Linked DNA regions of Saccharomyces cerevisiae S288C. Changing the gene in region 4 together with the main gene of any one other region gives a genetic interaction. Each region holds a gene or a part of one and is shown on either strand. Other genes may lie near its edges.

What was found.
Region 1: mutations in GCN1 (region 4) and CDC60 together harm fitness more than expected from each alone (negative genetic interaction), as found in Saccharomyces cerevisiae (3 studies listed by BioGRID).
Region 2: mutations in GCN1 (region 4) and FUM1 together harm fitness more than expected from each alone (negative genetic interaction), as found in Saccharomyces cerevisiae (3 studies listed by BioGRID).
Region 3: mutations in GCN1 (region 4) and PRE9 together harm fitness more than expected from each alone (negative genetic interaction), as found in Saccharomyces cerevisiae (4 studies listed by BioGRID).

The regions. Positions count from the first base shown.
Region 1 is NC_001148.4:245,199-251,217, forward strand, and holds CDC60 (leucine--tRNA ligase CDC60), read left to right. Parts: upstream 1-1,791; coding exon 1,792-5,064; downstream 5,065-6,019. Other genes in the region: BEM4 (Bem4p), read right to left, coding at 1-1,022; PET20 (Pet20p), read right to left, coding at 5,709-6,019.
Region 2 is NC_001148.4:44,951-49,439, forward strand, and holds FUM1 (fumarase FUM1), read left to right. Parts: upstream 1-2,385; coding exon 2,386-3,852; downstream 3,853-4,489. Other genes in the region: KEL3 (Kel3p), read right to left, coding at 1-1,556; YPL261C (uncharacterized protein), read right to left, coding at 4,046-4,354; CUB1 (Cub1p), read left to right, coding at 4,353-4,489. UniProt on the Saccharomyces cerevisiae protein: Catalyzes the reversible stereospecific interconversion of fumarate to L-malate.
Region 3 is NC_001139.9:759,144-762,668, reverse strand, and holds PRE9 (proteasome core particle subunit alpha 3), read right to left. Parts: upstream 1,278-3,525; coding exon 501-1,277; downstream 1-500. Other genes in the region: LSB1 (Lsb1p), read right to left, coding at 1-241; CCR4-NOT core subunit CAF130, read right to left, coding at 1,531-3,525. UniProt on the Saccharomyces cerevisiae protein: The proteasome degrades poly-ubiquitinated proteins in the cytoplasm and in the nucleus. It is essential for the regulated turnover of proteins and for the removal of misfolded proteins.
Region 4 is NC_001139.9:129,655-134,794, reverse strand, and holds the start of GCN1 (Gcn1p), read right to left. Parts: upstream 3,271-5,140; coding exon 1-3,270. Other genes in the region: D-serine ammonia-lyase DSD1, read right to left, coding at 3,626-4,912. UniProt on the Saccharomyces cerevisiae protein: Ribosome collision sensor that activates a translation quality control pathway when a ribosome has stalled during translation. Directly binds to the ribosome and acts as a sentinel for colliding ribosomes.

The DNA.
Region 1 (6,019 bases), on a different chromosome or scaffold from region 4:
TTGCCTGCGCACGATATGAGTCTTCTCATTACAATTAGCTTATTATTGAAGGTTTTTGATTCTAAGCAAACTAAGGACAATATTAAATTTTTTTGCATGCTTAGCACAAGCTGCTCCTCATTGGTAAAGTTTATAGTTTCATCCTTGGCTACAATAGTTTCAAGACATGTTGACAGATTTAATAGCAATTCACAATTAACGTCCTCCTCATCATCTTCTTCCTCTTTTTCGATGTACTCTTGATTTCCTTGGCCAGCGAACTTCTGAGTTTCAGTATTTGAATATGCTTCGACTGCTCCATCTTCCATTGCCTGCAATTCTTTATTTTGCACATTTGAAGAGATTTTTTTGATGTACTGGCTTAAGAAAAAGAGATCGCTTATTTGAACATTTGAGTAATTGACTTTTAAAATATCGTTCAATAAATCTGAACCTAAAACAACTTTTTCGGGAGATGACAAATAGCTATATTGTGTGGTTTTCAACAAAACAAATAATGGACCTCTAATGAAGGGAGCCAAATTTTCTGTATACTTGAGATTTCCAATGCAAAAATTCCTTAGTAGCACAACTGACCGCATCTGTAATTTATCCACTAAGCTATCCTCACTCTTGTCAGAAGAAATTTCGTCCAGCTGAAGAACCCCGCCTATATAATAATTAAGAAGCTTTTTACCTCCAGAATCCAAGAGAATTTCCCGATTATCATCATTATCAATTATTGCGTTAGCGATACATCTAATCACTTCAGAACTGATCTCATAAAACGCTATTTTATCATTAATTGAAATGCTCGTATCATGAAAGCAGATATCAAGCGCTTGTTCTAATACTCTTACTAGGTTCAGTAGCAGCCCAGTTTTACCAACAATATCTCTATTACTTGGTTCTCTCAACGAAACAGCCAATTGGTCCATTACCGCTAGGTAGCTTCCTAAGTAGACATCGTTCATCGGAACATCCTTTATTGAAGACGCATTGAGGATCGGTTGCAGACCAAATAAAATTTCTTCGTAATCCATTTAGTAGGACAGTTATTTTCACTTGAAACCACAATCTTTTGGGGCTGAAATATAGATGAGGTGATTTGTTATTCGCGGTTAGTTTTAGTTCGCGAGTGACCTGCTTACGTTGTCTTCAGCCATTTTACGTTGCTTGGCTTGCCGCCGGCGGGTAATATGATCTTATTTTGACATGGTTAAAGAAAAATACTTTTGACTAAGTACCTTTATCACAAGAAAGTTTAGGAAGGGATTCACTATTTGAAGATCAGACAAATGAGTATACGATATTGGCTCAATATTTTAGCCGAGTTTGCTTAAACTTAGTGGCAGAACTTTAGTCATGGGAAGACAAGAACGATCTTACGAGGCCCTTAGGACCTCGGCGGCTAACAGTAAAACTGGTAACTGACGGACAAGGAATATCAAGGTCATATTTTGAAAAGGTCTTTTTGGGTGACTACTTGGGTAAGAAATAATTAGACGAAGTTTCTTTCTGATGTGTATTGAACTAGTGCTCGTGCTTACATACACATCGCCCATTATTGCCTATAGTTATCCTCACTTTATACGAGGTCTGGCCGTTAACGGTTCTTTTACATTGAAAAACTAAATCAGTCACCCACGCAAATAATGAAAAAAAAAAAAAAATCAAAAGCGAAAAGAAACCTAACGCATATTCTATTCAAACGTTGAATGATTGTATTATTATAAATCATAATCACGTAAAGCCACCGAAATTTTTTTCCAGAGTGAAGAATATAAAAAAAATATCTTTAACCAGTCTATAATGTCTTCTGGTTTGGTCTTAGAAAACACGGCACGTAGAGATGCGTTAATCGCCATCGAAAAGAAGTACCAAAAAATATGGGCTGAAGAGCACCAATTTGAAATCGATGCGCCATCAATCGAAGATGAGCCCATTACAATGGACTCTGAAGAGTTACATCGCACGTATCCTAAATTCATGTCGTCTATGGCCTATCCTTATATGAACGGTGTTATGCACGCCGGCCATTGTTTTACTCTCTCCAAAGTCGAATTTTCTATTGGTTTTGAAAGGATGAACGGTAAAAGAGCTTTGTTTCCATTGGGTTTTCACTGTACAGGTATGCCAATCTTAGCATGTGCCGATAAACTAAAGAGGGAAGCCGAACTTTTTGGCAAGAACTTCGACAATGTACCAGCAGAAGAAGAAGAAATTAAAGAAGAAACGCCGGCTGAGAAAGACCACGAGGATGTTACCAAATTCAAAGCTAAAAAATCTAAAGCCGCAGCCAAGAAGGGCCGTGGTAAGTACCAATTCGAAATCATGTTACAGCTTGGTATCCCTAGAGAAGAAATCATTAAGTTCGCCGACGCCAAGTACTGGTTGACCTATTTCCCACCTTTGTGTGAAAGTGATTGTACTTCACTTGGGGCTCGTATCGATTGGAGACGTTCTTTTGTCACCACTGATGCCAATCCTTATTACGATGCCTTTATTAGATGGCAAATGAACAAGTTAAAGGCTGCTGGTAAAATCAAATTCGGTGAACGTTATACTATTTACTCTGAAAAAGATGGTCAAGCTTGTATGGATCACGATAGACAATCCGGTGAAGGTGTTACACCACAAGAATATATTGGTGTGAAAATTGAAGCTTTAGAGTTCGCCGATGATGCCGCAAAAATCATTGATTCAAGCTCAGATCTTGACAAATCCAAAAAATTCTACTTTGTCGCTGCCACGTTGAGACCGGAAACTATGTATGGACAAACATGTTGTTTTGTTTCTCCAACAATTGAGTATGGTATATTTGACGCTGGTGATTCTTATTTTATCACTACTGAACGTGCATTCAAGAACATGTCTTACCAAAAGCTAACACCAAAGAGAGGCTTCTACAAGCCGATAGTTACTGTCCCAGGTAAGGCATTTATCGGTACCAAGATTCATGCCCCACAATCTGTATATCCAGAACTAAGAATATTGCCTATGGAAACTGTCATTGCTACCAAGGGTACTGGTGTCGTCACGTGTGTACCATCTAATTCACCAGATGACTACATTACCACCAAGGACTTGTTGCACAAACCTGAATACTACGGCATTAAACCTGAATGGATTGACCATGAAATTGTTCCAATTATGCATACCGAAAAGTATGGTGATTTAACTGCAAAGGCTATTGTTGAAGAAAAAAAAATTCAATCTCCAAAGGATAAGAACTTGTTAGCAGAAGCCAAGAAAATTGCTTACAAGGAAGATTACTACACTGGTACCATGATATATGGTCCTTATAAAGGTGAGAAGGTCGAACAAGCCAAAAACAAGGTTAAGGCTGATATGATTGCCGCCGGTGAAGCTTTCGTCTACAACGAACCAGAATCTCAGGTCATGTCACGTTCTGGTGATGACTGTATCGTTTCTTTGGAAGATCAATGGTACGTTGATTACGGTGAAGAAAGTTGGAAGAAACAAGCAATTGAATGTTTGGAAGGGATGCAATTATTTGCTCCTGAGGTAAAAAACGCATTTGAAGGTGTTTTGGATTGGTTGAAAAACTGGGCTGTTTGCCGTACATACGGGTTAGGTACCAGATTGCCTTGGGATGAAAAATACTTAGTTGAGTCTTTATCAGACTCTACTATTTATCAATCATTTTATACCATTGCTCACTTACTATTTAAGGATTATTATGGTAACGAAATTGGACCATTAGGCATTTCAGCTGATCAAATGACAGATGAGGTTTTCGATTACATTTTCCAACATCAGGATGATGTCAAGAACACCAATATTCCTTTGCCTGCTTTACAAAAGTTGAGAAGGGAATTTGAGTATTTCTACCCATTAGACGTCTCAATTTCCGGGAAGGATTTGATCCCTAACCATTTAACTTTCTTCATTTACACACATGTTGCATTATTCCCAAAGAAATTCTGGCCTAAAGGTATCAGAGCTAACGGTCATTTGATGTTAAACAATTCTAAAATGTCGAAATCTACAGGTAATTTTATGACTTTAGAACAAACGGTTGAAAAGTTCGGTGCTGATGCAGCTCGTATTGCGTTTGCCGATGCGGGAGATACTGTTGAAGATGCAAATTTTGACGAATCTAACGCTAATGCTGCTATTCTGAGATTATTCAATTTGAAGGAGTGGGCAGAAGAAATTACCAAGGAATCTAACTTGAGAACTGGGGAAATTACAGATTTCTTTGATATCGCGTTTGAACACGAAATGAATGCTCTGATTGAAAAGACTTATGAACAGTATGCATTGACTAATTATAAGAATGCCTTGAAATACGGTCTTTTTGATTTCCAAGCTGCTAGGGATTACTATCGTGAAGCTAGTGGTGTAATGCATAAAGATTTAATTGCACGTTATATTGAAACACAAGCCTTATTGCTGGCTCCAATTGCGCCTCATTTCGCTGAGTATATTTACCGTGAAGTTCTAGGTAACCAAACCTCTGTACAAAATGCCAAATTTCCACGTGCATCCAAACCAGTAGATAAGGGTGTTCTGGCTGCTTTGGATTACTTGAGAAATCTACAGAGAAGCATAAGAGAAGGCGAAGGGCAAGCACTAAAAAAGAAGAAGGGCAAGTCTGCTGAAATCGATGCATCCAAACCTGTTAAGTTGACTTTATTGATCTCTGAATCATTTCCAGAATGGCAATCACAATGCGTGGAAATCGTCCGTAAACTATTCAGCGAACAGACTTTAGACGATAACAAAAAGGTCAGAGAGCATATTGAGCCTAAAGAAATGAAGAGAGCTATGCCATTCATTTCTCTATTGAAACAACGTTTAGCTAATGAAAAGCCAGAGGATGTGTTTGAAAGAGAGTTACAATTCAGCGAAATCGATACTGTCAAGGCTGCTGCAAGGAATGTTAAGAAGGCAGCACAAGCTTTGAAAATTGCTGAATTTAGCGCAATTTCTTTCCCATATGGCGCCAAAACCGGTAAGGATATCTTTACTGGTGAAGAAGTTGAAATTCCACCTGTAACAAAGATTGTTGAAAATGCTGTTCCAGGTAACCCAGGTGTTGTCTTCCAAAATATTTAAAGGAGAATATTTCAAGATGCCTCATGGTGATTTTCCGATAAAAGATACAAGAAATTCTCATAGAAATACTTATAAAGATCAATAAACAGCAACCAGAAATCACGTCGCATTGATAATTTGCCTCGTATATATCGTATAATTATTGTAATTGCACAACTGTTTTTGTTTTGTATTCGTTCATTTTCTTGTAAAATGTTTCCACATTTTCTTGTGGAGGATATGTATATTGATTCTTTACTTATTCGTGTTATTTTAGCTGCAAATATCTGGGTTTGAGGGCTATTTGACTAGTCTAGAGAAAAGTAGTCGTGAGAAAACTATATTAGATAGATGGATGAGAGGAGCAGGTCAATAAGTAAAAGAATAATAAATAAATATATAAAAATATACATGTAAAAAAGGTGTTCTAAATGAATGATAAAGTTTATGAATGTAATATACTCTAAGGATGTAAGAAAAAAACCGTTGCGTATGTATAATAAACAGGTCTATGATGTTAAAAGATGAAAAGGCCTAATAAAGTGAACAGAACCGGAAGAAACTAAAAATAAATAAAACCCAAGTAACCACGTACAAAAAGCACATTGATGCTAAGAAGATCTCCCTGCTAGGAAAACAGAAATCAGAATGAAACGTTTCAATAATCATCCCTCAAGTTTTTTCTTCATTTGGAGCAACGTCACTACTGACTTTTTTCTCCCCTTTCCTCTTCTCTTTGAAAATTCATCCATTTTCCGCTGAAGCGTCTCACTTGTTTTATTGTCAACTAATGTATTTCTCTTAGCACTTACATGAATAAGCTCATTTGTGTTCATTGATTTTTCCTTAGGTGGATGAAAAGGCTTCAAATTTTTCAGTAGTTCACTAGGTATATTCTCCCACTCTGAAAAGAATTCAAGTCCAGTGGCAGAGGAAATCCATGGTGATAGAGGTTCATTTAAATCTTCAAGCTTCA
Region 2 (4,489 bases), on a different chromosome or scaffold from region 4:
TCGTCCGAATCTCTATCACCTAGTCTCTTTGCTTCTTCGATGGCAGATAGGTCTTCCCAGTAAACCTTGACACCATCCAACTTGTTCAAATCTATACTATAAAATGAGTTTATAGGATAATCTTTTTCGCCCAGTTCCCAGACACCACTGTAAATGAACAACGAGTCGCCCACTACACAAGTTGCTGCGTTAAATCTTGGGTGAGGTAATTGATTTGAGATGGTAATATCTTCTTGGTTGTCCAAATCACTGTCATCTTCGTTATCTTCGTCGTCATCGATAGAGTTAGGACCCGTTGTGCTGTTGTCATCATTGTCATCGTCGTCGTCATTTAGATTAGACTTGGCCAGAATGGAATTTAGTAAATCCTGCAGTTCCTTTTCTTGATCTTTATTAGATTTTCTTTTACTTGTGGCGGGTGAATTTTTACTATTCGTTTGACGCTGAGGTTTAATTCTAAGTTTAGACCATTTGTTCAACTCTAGGTGGAACATATATAGGTCGTTATAGAAAACGGACTCTAAGGATTCCTCTGTCTCTTGTAAATCGTAGACACCACCAAAAGCAACGGACTTGTTTTGCTTCCATAGATTGAACGAATACCCGACTCTTGGTGAGGGCTGGTTCTTGAAATTCTTTAATTTTTCCCACTGCCACTTCTTTGGATCAGGCGTTAAGTTCAGTTTCCATGCATCATTCAAGATTTTTCCCTTCATTAAATTTTTATTATTTTTGGCAATGATTTTACAGTAACCACCCATTAATATGGCAGAATTATCTGTAGGAATGAAACAATGACCCGATCTAGCGTCAGGTTTGCTGTTTGTCTCCAATTTGGTCCATTTGTAGGTTGAGATATCAAAACACCACAAATCATTTAGGTAAGAAGTTTGACCATTCCCCAAATCTCTAAATCCACCAAATAATATGAAATAGTTTTTCCAAGCAATAATTCTATGACCTGATCTGGCGCTGGGTGAAGAGTCTCTACCGCCAAACTCCAACTTAGTGAATTTCCTTTCAACGCAGTCAAACAGCCATGTATCAGAATAGTGGTAGAATTTAGATTGTTTTGGGGACGAAAATTCACCACCGTGTAACAGTGCTATTCCGGAAGGATGCACAGCGACAGCGGCACTGGATCTGGGCAAAGGTGCATTTTGCGAAACGTATTTTTTCCAAGAGTTGTTCTTTATGGAGTATGAATACAAATCATTATAGAAATGTGTTAGTTTGGTTTCTGGATCTGTAAATTCACCACCGAAAATGAACAATTCATGTTTATTGTGTTGCGGATTTGCAAACATCAACGGATGAGTACGACAAGAGGGTTTTTCCACAGAAGTGATGTCTACATGCTCTAATTCAATTTGCTTTTTGCTAAAGCTAGAGAGAATTTCATCGAGATCTTGATCACTTTCATCATCTTCTTCGCCGTTTAAAGACTTATTCTTGTTCTTCTGAAACTTTTTCTCCTGCTTTTTTTGGTTTTTCTGATTCTTCAGTTCAGCACGTGCCTTTTTGGCCTCTTTATCCTTCTTATTCTTCTTTGCCATTAATCACTTCTACGAGTCTAGTAGATCTCTTCTCCTTCCTATAAGTGGTTAATGTATTCTTCGAGAAGCTCATCATTTTTTTTTTTCATTTTTTTTTTTTTTTTCAGTTTTCTACAATTTCATCAAATCAATGGTTAAACCGGGCAGAAAAACTACCAAGCGTTACTTTTACTGATGTTAGTACTACTACCGCAGTTATTGCGACTACTACATTAACTATAACTATACAAGAAAAAAAGTAAAGAGGGCTCGTAAAGCAAAGCTTGGTATCTCCTACATAGTCAATACATAGTAGTGAGTCGCCTATAGCCATTCTGTAATGCCATTTGTTAAGACGTGTCCTTAAACCCTTCCGAATCGCCGCGGGCGACATCATAATGTCAGTACCTAATAATGGTTATTATTCGTACCCTGTGGTTAGAGAGCTATGGAAGCTAGCAGTAAATGTCTCTAGTTCTTGCTATCACTACCATATTGGAGAGGCTTCAGGCCCCTCCCCTGAGCCGATCCTCGGAATGACTACCCCGATTCCCGGAATGGGCGTTCGATGATTGGCTCTTTCCTGTAAAGCCTTTTTGCGTTTCTTATAGGCTATATATAATCTTCATCACTGTTGTAGACGTTAAACAAGCATCCAACAGGAGGCCGGACCGAACACACGGGGGAGTGACTCTAGCTCTTTCTTCTGGGATATTCATATCGTTTCTCCATTACATACAGTCATTTTTTTGCATTTTTAAATTCGTGACTTTTAGTACTGCAGCTGTTTTTTTTCTCACGTCAAGAAATTCCATAAAGTCTAACTATTAAACGGATAAGAGATACAATCATGTTGAGATTTACCAATTGTAGTTGCAAGACTTTCGTAAAATCGTCATATAAGCTTAATATAAGAAGAATGAACTCCTCGTTCAGAACTGAAACCGATGCATTTGGTGAGATACACGTGCCTGCTGATAAGTACTGGGGTGCCCAAACTCAAAGATCCTTTCAAAACTTCAAGATTGGTGGCGCTCGTGAAAGAATGCCATTGCCTTTGGTGCATGCATTTGGTGTTTTGAAGAAATCTGCCGCGATTGTGAATGAGTCTCTGGGGGGATTGGATCCCAAGATCTCCAAGGCTATTCAACAGGCCGCTGACGAAGTGGCTTCTGGTAAGCTAGACGACCACTTTCCATTGGTTGTTTTCCAAACGGGTTCCGGTACCCAGTCTAACATGAATGCTAATGAAGTTATTTCCAATCGTGCCATTGAGATCCTAGGAGGCAAGATTGGATCTAAACAAGTCCATCCAAACAATCATTGCAACCAATCTCAATCATCCAATGATACTTTCCCCACTGTCATGCATATCGCTGCCAGTTTGCAAATTCAAAACGAGTTGATACCTGAGTTGACCAATTTAAAGAACGCCCTTGAAGCCAAATCCAAGGAATTTGACCATATTGTGAAGATCGGTAGAACACACTTGCAAGATGCCACGCCTTTGACACTAGGTCAAGAGTTTTCCGGTTACGTGCAACAAGTTGAGAACGGTATCCAAAGAGTGGCACATTCTTTGAAAACATTGAGTTTCCTGGCACAAGGTGGTACTGCCGTTGGTACAGGGTTGAACACCAAGCCCGGATTCGATGTCAAGATAGCCGAGCAAATTTCCAAAGAAACTGGACTAAAGTTTCAAACCGCCCCTAATAAGTTCGAGGCTTTGGCTGCTCACGACGCCATTGTCGAATGTAGCGGTGCTCTAAACACCCTTGCTTGTTCTCTTTTCAAAATAGCGCAAGATATAAGATACTTAGGGTCCGGGCCACGTTGCGGCTACCATGAACTAATGCTGCCAGAGAATGAACCAGGTTCCTCAATCATGCCTGGTAAAGTTAACCCAACCCAAAACGAGGCATTGACTCAAGTGTGTGTGCAAGTCATGGGTAACAATGCAGCTATCACGTTTGCCGGCTCTCAAGGTCAATTCGAGTTAAATGTCTTCAAGCCAGTCATGATCGCCAATCTATTGAATTCGATCAGGTTAATTACTGATGCCGCATATTCATTTAGAGTGCACTGTGTTGAAGGTATCAAAGCCAATGAGCCTCGTATTCATGAGTTGTTGACTAAATCTTTAATGTTAGTCACCGCTTTGAACCCTAAGATCGGTTATGATGCCGCTTCCAAGGTCGCCAAGAATGCTCATAAGAAGGGCATTACCTTGAAGGAAAGTGCATTGGAATTGGGTGTATTGACTGAAAAGGAATTTGATGAATGGGTTGTTCCTGAACACATGCTAGGTCCTAAATAAACGAGCTAAATACCTAATAATATACAAGTTTTTTATGTCTTATTATATGAAGGAAAATAAGGAAGTGGAGAGAATTTGTGATTCAGCAATGGTCCCTCCGCTAAGGTCCCGCCTCTGGCCAGTTATGTCAGAAGAGGAGCATAGGCATACATTCCATTTTTGATGGCTTAATGGGGCCCATAAATTTACATCACTACATTATTATTCCTATACAAGTTATAATAAAATAGTTCATAAATGAATATTTTGCGTCATTTTTTAATTTCTTGTCGTCGGGTAAGGGACCTAGTATTACCCGCATCACGGAAAGGGGAATTTTCAGAAATGATAACGAATAAGAGAGTACACCAGAAGAGCAAATCTCTTTAAGAAGTTTAGCAGCAAATATCGGTTTAAAAACAAACAAAAGCAAAGGAAAAGAACTACTAAATCTTCGAGGACTTTCCCAATTTTTAAAACGCTGAAATTGTATTAGAAGAGAATAACTGTCTAAAAAGAGCATGTTTGCATCCGCTGGACAACAACACCCTCAAATTGTTCCTAAGGAAGAGGAATCCATATTAAACTACCTCCTTGAAGTGAGATCCTCCTTGGCTAAACTCAAGCAAAATAGGACCCAGTATTTGAACTCTAAGGA
Region 3 (3,525 bases), 630 kb from region 4:
GTATTTTATCACCTGTTTTCAATGACAAATCTCCATCTTGTTGAGCTTCAAAATCATATAAAGCTTCAACGTACTCTTCTGTATCTGCATTTTGGGGCGATCTTTGGTTTCCATCCCATTTCTCAGGTAACTTGCTATTGATTAATTCGAAAATGTCGCCTGATATGACGTTTGATTCCTTCAAAAATTCTAATTCATTCCTTATATTTTTCAATGATCGATTCACTAGTGACGCAGACATCGCTTTTGTTTATTTTTGAAGTGCTGCCAAAATTAGATTGGAGTTAGAATCCAACAACAAGTAGGCCAAACGAGCAGGCCCTTTTTTATATTTGCCTCTCGAGCGATTCCGATCTTGAAATTTGCGCAAAAAAAAGTTTCTTCAGCCTTCCCCCGAAAGGGGAATCTTAGCGATTTTTTTCTTTCACTTTTAATTTTAGAGATATGTTTCTATGCGTACATATTTATATAAGCATGAAGTCAAACAATACTTTCCAACCTTATTTCATATCTTCATCAGCTTCTTCGTCTTCATCCTTCTTGGTAATACCAGTCTTTACCAATATATCCTTTATCTCTTGAGGCTTGAAAATCTTCTGATACACTTCTCCGTCATTAGCACCCTTTCTGATAGTAGCAAATTCCAACCTGTCATAAGTCAGCGCGCTACTGTCGGTAGTTTTGGATAACGTTTTTAAAGCCAGTTCAATGGCATCATCGACTTTCATATCATCCTTGTAGTCCATTTGAAGTAGGGTTTGTGCTGCTGATGTGTTAGCGCCAACACTAATAGCCTTCCACCCTGTATAGTTTCCCGATGGATTAGATGTATACAATTGGTAACCGTATCTATCGTCATAACCGGCGTAGATAAAGGACACACCAAATGGTCTTAAACCACCATGTTGCGTGTAACCTTGTTTTATATCACTTAGCCTTCTCACCAAAATTTCTACTGGTATATCTTCATTATAGGTTTTAAGGTAATTTTGAGCGTGAATTCTAGCCGTATTTATTAGAATTTCTGCATCTGCAGTCAGTCCAGCAACGGCAACCGCAATTTTATCGTTTAACTTATAAAGTTTTTCGGTAGAGGTGTCTTGTTCTAGTAAAGTACTTGTGACTTTGCGTTCTGCTGCAAGAACAATCCCATCAGATGCCATAATCCCAATTGCGGTACCTGCATGTGAAATGGATTCTAGCGCGTATTCAACCTGATATAGACGTCCCTCAGGGGAGAAAATTGTTGTCCTGGAATCGTATCTTCTGGAACCCATGTTTAACACTACTAACTATATCCAATAATCAATTATTAAAATAGAGACTGATCGAAAACTTTTTATAGAAAGCAGTCTGTTCTCTTCGCTCTGCCAATGTTTCCTTATTACATAGATATCCATCTTTTTATGCTTTTATTCTATAAATTTTTTGCCACCTGCAGGGTAACGAATATTTAACTGCCTCAAGATGTTATTACATGGCTAATTGTCATTAAATGAGGATGCAGAGAAAACATGAGCAATTCACTGCTCACTCACTGTCTCCAACATCGAGCTCTGCGAGTGTTATATATTCATGAAGTGGGATAGGCTTATCGGCTTTGGGCAATGGCAAAATCTTACCATCGTAGAACACCACCCTTCTTCCTGGAGGGTTCACCTGGGTGTCGAAGGAGTAATCAGCGATAAAACTACGCAACGTGTTAATAGGGGAACTATCGTCTTTGTTTGCAGGCTTTGAGGGAAACAGGTTTAACAATTTCAGATTCAGTTCAGAAGCTGGCTTAGCGTTTAGCTTCTTCTCTATGTCAGAGTTCTTCCTGCCCTCATGCTGCATAGTATCGGCACTATCCTCTTCTTCCATGGCGAGCCTTGTCTTGATCTTAAAGAATAAATCTTTGGCTTCAGGAAGGATGCCAATCCATGTCATCAGTAAAGTTTGAAGCTCAAAAGTGCATTCTGATTTGGTAAAAAAAAACTTGTCGTTCGCGATGAGTGTCTGCACCATGTAACAGATCAACCTAACCAAACCAAGGGAGTACAAGGAGATTTTCTCGCCGTCTTCATTCTCTTCTTCGTTATTTTTTGATGACAAAAAAATAGCAGCATTCATAAAAAACTCCTGCAGTAACATTTTAGTCTCAATATCAGATAATACGATAGGTCCTTGCCTTGAAAAGGGAAGTCCTGAAGCATCTTCATTCTTCTGCTTTTTCTTCAAGATCTCATATATCATATCATCCTTTTTATCTTGATCACTGGCTTCTCCGGAAAACGGTTTTCCACGTAACCCCATTATTAGTTCAAAAACGTAATATATCAACGAATGTTTTAACTCCAAATGCGTAAGGAACCATATCAATATTCTCCTATAACCGGTGCACATTAACATTTCATCCATTAATCTCCACGCAACGTCGTGATTCACGTTTAGCATCCTTTCAAATGCTGATTCTTCAGACCATATTTCATAAATATCATCCGGCGTGGTTCTTCTGAGATCTTCATTATCTATCTTGGACATTTTGGTATTTCCTTCACCTTCTACATCGCCGTTTATACTTGCGGAAAAATTAGACTCCAGGTCTGCTAAAATCATTTGGTCCTGCTCGTTCCTTACACACGATGCAACTGAACGCACTAACAATATGGATTCCTCCTTATTCAACTTTTCTGTTGCGCCACGTAGAGTCAAACTAAATATGACATCTAACTTAGGCTCATGGATGAATGAATAAGATGGCGAATAGTACATATTGAAATCTCTGGGAACGTCCCTCCAATCTTCCCCACTATAGTCAAATTCAAAAGTACTTCTTGATCTAACGGAAAGTGGGTTAGGTGACGTAACGACGTGATCAGAAGTGGCTGTAGTCGCGTTATGTACCGCATTCCTATTATTATGCATTGCGCCTTCAACGTTTTCGCTATTTGTTGACCCAAAGGCTTCATTTGCACCATCCTCTGCCACCAACTTATCATCATTGAAGATGCAATTGCACCGTCTCCGAAAGAAAACATTATTACTACCAGATGCTATTTTTTCTGTTGGGTTAACAACGCTTTCATCCAATCCTCCATGATCGCTTTCAGAGAAAGATTCATCATAATCTTCACATTCATAATCAAACATATATCTAATATCCTCATCAAATCTATCACCTGACTGTAAATCGGCAAATAAATCTGTTACATCTTCGATGCTTGCTCCAAGCGCAAGTAGAGATGCAGTATGTGACCTTAAATCGGCATATAAAGCACCATGACACAATTTTCTTCCATAGGGCGACATGAATGTGTTTAAAGACTCGTGCTTGAAATCATGATCATTATTTTTCACTAATCCATTGAGAACGGTAGCTATTACAGACCTCAATGCTGCGGCTCCACGAATTGTGGCGCGAACCATAAGCGGCGTTTCGTAAGTGCCATTCTCCTCTTCAATTCTATCAATTTCTAAGGCTAAAAGTATAACACAGGAGAGGTTTTTCCATAAGGATATTAATGAAAATAAAAATGGGTTTAG
Region 4 (5,140 bases):
ATCTGCAATCTCGCGGTTGGAAGGATCCGAATCAAATCTGCAAATGAAAACTTCAGGTGAATATTTCATAAAAGGTTCTAATTCGAATTCGTTATCAAGAGTTTCTAATATTGTTGAACGGACAAATTGATTTGGTGATAGTAAATTTGATAGTATCATATCAAGGTCTTCTTGATTTGGTGCAACAGATATGCTTTGGCACAGAGCGTTGAAACAATCTTTAGCAATCTTCGCTTTTGAGGGTAAAGATAGAAGAGATAGTAACACTTCAACAATGGAAATTCTCGGAATGGAAGGATCCTCAAAAGCTTCAGCGTGTACAGAAATAATTTCCATGGCCAGTAACAGATGTTCTTCTTCTTCATCTTCTTCAACAAACTCAGCCTTAACAACAGGCTTGTCCGCATTCTTTAATGCAATCGCCTTACCCTTTTCTAAAACATTAATCAACAATGGTAAAATATATGTCAAACTGATGGAATCTATTGCTGCTTGGTTGGAGACGAACTTGATCCTAAAAAGAACTCTTGTAAGTAATTCAACCAGTGGTTCTTGTAAATAATCTTGCGAGATGCCATTAGCATTGTGCACACGCAAAGTCGCCAAACCTAAGAAAAGTCTGATATTACCTAATCTCTCGGAGACATTTTGAGAAAGCTGCAAGAACACATTATTTACATCCTCTGTTAGCTTTGAAATATTTGGTTCCGAGCATAGGTACAAAAGCTTTGTGACTGCCAAGGGGAACCAAGTAGCGATGCCATTTTGGACTAAGCAAGCAGCTTTGGAAAGTTCAGATACCAATCTAATACCACGCTTTAAACGAGTGGAAATTTCCGAAACGTGTGATCTAACTGCAGATTCTTTCGCTAACTGTTCATTAACGAGCTCTTGTTCCTCTTTTGAAAGTTTTTTCACATTCTTTTTGGCTTGCTCCTTCCTTATTTTTTGTTCCCACATTAGAGTTTCGTACTCTTTAGAATTTTTATTGGAAAGTTTCTTATTCATGCTTTCTTCCAGGACGTCAACCACCAGAACACCTTCCTCTCCTGCAAAAATTTCGAAGTCCTCTTCAGATAAACGTGAGAAATCATCCGCGGTTAAATCTGCTTCGATAGTCTTACAAAGGATCGGTGTGAACTCATTAGGCTGAATAAATGCTGCATAGGCAGCTGCTTGCAAACCGCATGCACCATAAATTGTATCTATCCATTCACAACTACCTGTGATTTCAAGAATCTTCTCCATGATAACGCTAGCATGTTCTTTGACAACTTCAGCTGGATCAAGCCTTGCACGTAAAACTAAACCAGCCCAGCCATTCTTAATGTTGAAAATATTCCATTGCGCTATGACCAGAGCATTGATTAATACCTTTATCGAGGCTTCCTTGTCAGGTAACTCAGACGTAATGGCCAGTAGTACAGAAGTGACATATTTAAAGGATGTATTTTGTTGAGGTATTAATTCTTGGACACGCATTCTCCTTTCAATTGCATCAATCACGCTAAACCCAATAAATTCGGGTTTCTTGTAGAACAATTCTTGTAGTAAATTAACAGCATGAATACGGTTTTCGATGGATAGCTCTGTTGATAATGCAGCAGTTAAGATAGCATCACCTATCGAAGAATTTTCAGGAAGGGTTTCTATGAGCTGCATAACACGATCATTTAGCTCAGTATTGTCCAATGCCAAAATTTTGTTTGTAAATTCAATTGATGCTAGAATACATGCATGCCCGTGAGTCTGATAATGTATGATGGAGTCTTTCACAAATTCCAAACAACCGTCTATAAAGTTTAAAATCACCTCTTCAGAGGCAGCATTGGAATTGTTCAAAAATGCGGCAAACCAGCATTTTTTCAAAGCAGGTTTTTTATCTGCAAAACCAGCTGATATAATTTTATCCAAGTCTTCAATAGGTTTGCCCAGACTAAAATAATGAACAAAAAAAGCGTTAAGCATTAGAGTCAAGGCTGCTTCATTACCTTCTTTACCAATATATGGGGACAGCCCTTTGCAGATTTTTTCTGAAACCTCATAGTGCGTTAAGGGTATTTCTATGAGAATTTTGGAAATAAGTGATTTGTAATCTGCATTTAAGTTCGATTTGATGTTCTTAAATATTTCGTCAATAAGCTTGGTCAAATCTTCCAAGGTAGTGTCAGTATTGGAAATTTTTCTCAATAAGATTATCATAGACTGAAGCGAGACGGATCTAACTACCTCTTTTGAGCTTTTAAATGACGAGAAGTATTGATTAATCAGTTTCGAGGAAGCAAAGGCATTTAAGAGATTTACTTTTTCAGGAGAAACACCAGCATATAACTCAGATAAAATCGAAAAACCAACCTCAGGAGATCTTAAAACTGCTTTTTCAATATTAGGGATGAAAAACTTAATGAATAACTCTTGTGAAACAAATTCTTTTAAAAATGGCTTCAAACCAATCTCTAAGCAAAAGGAAGATGGTGGGTTTTTGCCTAAAAACACTTCTTTGCCCAAATATTCGCAATATTTCTCTGCAGAATTTTCCTTTAAAACGGAGTGCAGAGCTGGTTGCCTCGATAATAACTGAAGTGCAGCCTGAGTTAGTGCACCCATTATCATAACTACTCCAACACTGGTTATCTTCAGCTTAGAGTAGCTCTCCAGTACAGTTTTAATTGAAATCTTCATGAAGGAAATACTGTCGTCATTATCCTTCAAGCACTTAAGGAATGCTTTGACCGTTGTTTGGAAAATGCAATAACGAATTCTCTTTCTATGCTGGTTCTGCTTATCTTGGGATTTCTTGCCTTCTTCTTGATTGTCAAGAATAGTTTCCACACCGAACGTTGCATAAGAATGGGCGACCAACAATTTTGGAATGTACTCTTCAAATAAATTAGAATTATGCGACACAAAAATCAAGAAAGAATTAATCCAATCTAACAAATTAAGGTAATCAGCGACTGCTTTGGTAGCCGGATTACTGATGACCACGTCGGAAATGAATCGGATAAAGTTTTCTAGGAGACATGGCTCTAGATTTAAGATGTCAAGCAATATTGAAGTTACCAAACTTTTAGACCTATTGTCTTCGTAAATCGTGAAGGTATTCAATAAAACGAAAGCAATTTCAGATAATTGAGGTTTTTCCAATGTTTCTTGACGAACTAATTGTGATATATCTTGCAAAAAGGGAACTCTTTTAGACACGTGTGATTCGCGGGTGCCTTTCTCTAAAACAGGGGATATATCTTCCCAGTTTAAGATAGCTGTCATCACTGTAGGAGTTATTGGTGTCAGTCAGAGCTTTGTTTGTCTTAATGATCTACTTCAGGTTTAATAAGTACAACTCAAAGATCTTTTCGAAGGTTTAAATTATTCAAATTTTTCATTCGTACGTAACGACTTTATTGAGAAGCTCAATGACGGTAGTTGAAATTTCATAGCATTATATCAACAAATAAATCTGTATTACAATTACCAGCTCGCAGGTAATGCGGAAGCTTAACAAGAGGGTGTTTAGACCAACCTGTGTACAACCTTACTCTTAGTTACTATTTATAAATAGATACACAATTACATAGACACAGAGATGCTTTGATGAGAGTGATAACCAACGACAAAAGAGAGCTTACCATTTCTGAAAAGGTAACCAAACATCGTTGACAATGCCTTCGCTGTTTACCACGAAATAATATGGAAATTGTCCCATTGTGATACAAGCGTGTTGAGGAAGGACGGCAATTTTGCTGCCTAATTTTAATGGAGTAGTTTCGTTCCAGTTTCTTATTGGCCTCAGTATCCCGTGTTCTTGAGAGACCCTTGCTACATACCATTCCCTACTGAAACTCTCGGATTTTAACACATGTTCCAAATCAGCACATATTCCAAACCCTTTTATTGAGGATGCTTCTCGCGTTAGACACATTACACCTGTATTACTCAACAATTCACCTCTAGAAGGGTAAGATGATAGTACTGTTCCTAATACAAAACCAGACAATTCGTGATCTTGGACACAGCCTGTTGCCACCTGTTGCAGGTCATACATGCAGTAATTACCGCAGTGGATTTCAAGCGTACTAACTAATTGAGTAGTAATGAATTTAACAAGGGTACTTTTATTATCGAGTTTCAAAGAATTGGAAGTCGGAGTAGCGCCCACAGAAAGTGTTAATTTAGAAGGATCAAACTGAGGATCCACAGAGCACAAAACTTTAGCGGCAGAATTGACTGCTTTCACTTCTTCCATCAAAAGATTCTGAGTGTCGTTGATCGAGGTTGAAGAGTAGCTGTGTCCGGCATGAGCATAAAACCCATATGGCTCAATTACTTCTTTAATTTCTGAGGAAGTCAGTTTTTTTAAAAGACTCAAAAATTCTGGAGAGTCGAAAGCAAGACCTGCCCTCTTAGTCCCCATATCAACCTTGATAAAAACCGACCATTTCTTGCCGGAAGCAGGCCTACCGAAATTCTTTAAATTCTCCAAGTGTTCAATGTTATCAACAAAAACCTGAAAATTATTCACCCTTCTTGACAAATTGCTCAAAAGAGGAATAAACTCTGGAACGCAACAGGGTAAACTATATGTTATATCGTCAATATAATCCGAACATTGTCTATCTTGATAATTAAGAAGTTCTTCTGCTTCTTTCAAAGTTGATACTAATATGGCTCTTGTAGTGCGTTTAGCCAATGGAAGTCCGTGGCCCAATTGTTTCAAAGTTCCCTTTGCTGTCTTATGCGTTTTTACGTGTGCACGAAATTTGATTGGTACGCCACATTCCTGGCTGAGCTTTTCAACGTTGTTCAACATTGTCGTACAATTCTTATCAAATTTTTCTTCATTAATAACGAAATTGGGTGTGGGTAAATCTCTGACTGAGCACCCTTTATATTGAGATAGAACATCGCTCATTTCAAACTCTTCTTAGGAGCAATATTATACTTCCTTATCAAGAAATGAAGTATTTATGTGCACTTAATTCCCTTTCGTGTTGAATAAAATTGACAGTAAATAGTGGAAAGAAATCTTTTCACTCAAAAGCTTTATATATGTACACATATTGTTGTTCCATGGTTTTGAGAGATATTTTAACTCCGTCTTATCACTCTCCGACGGATTCGGCCCGATGTAAAAATTGTA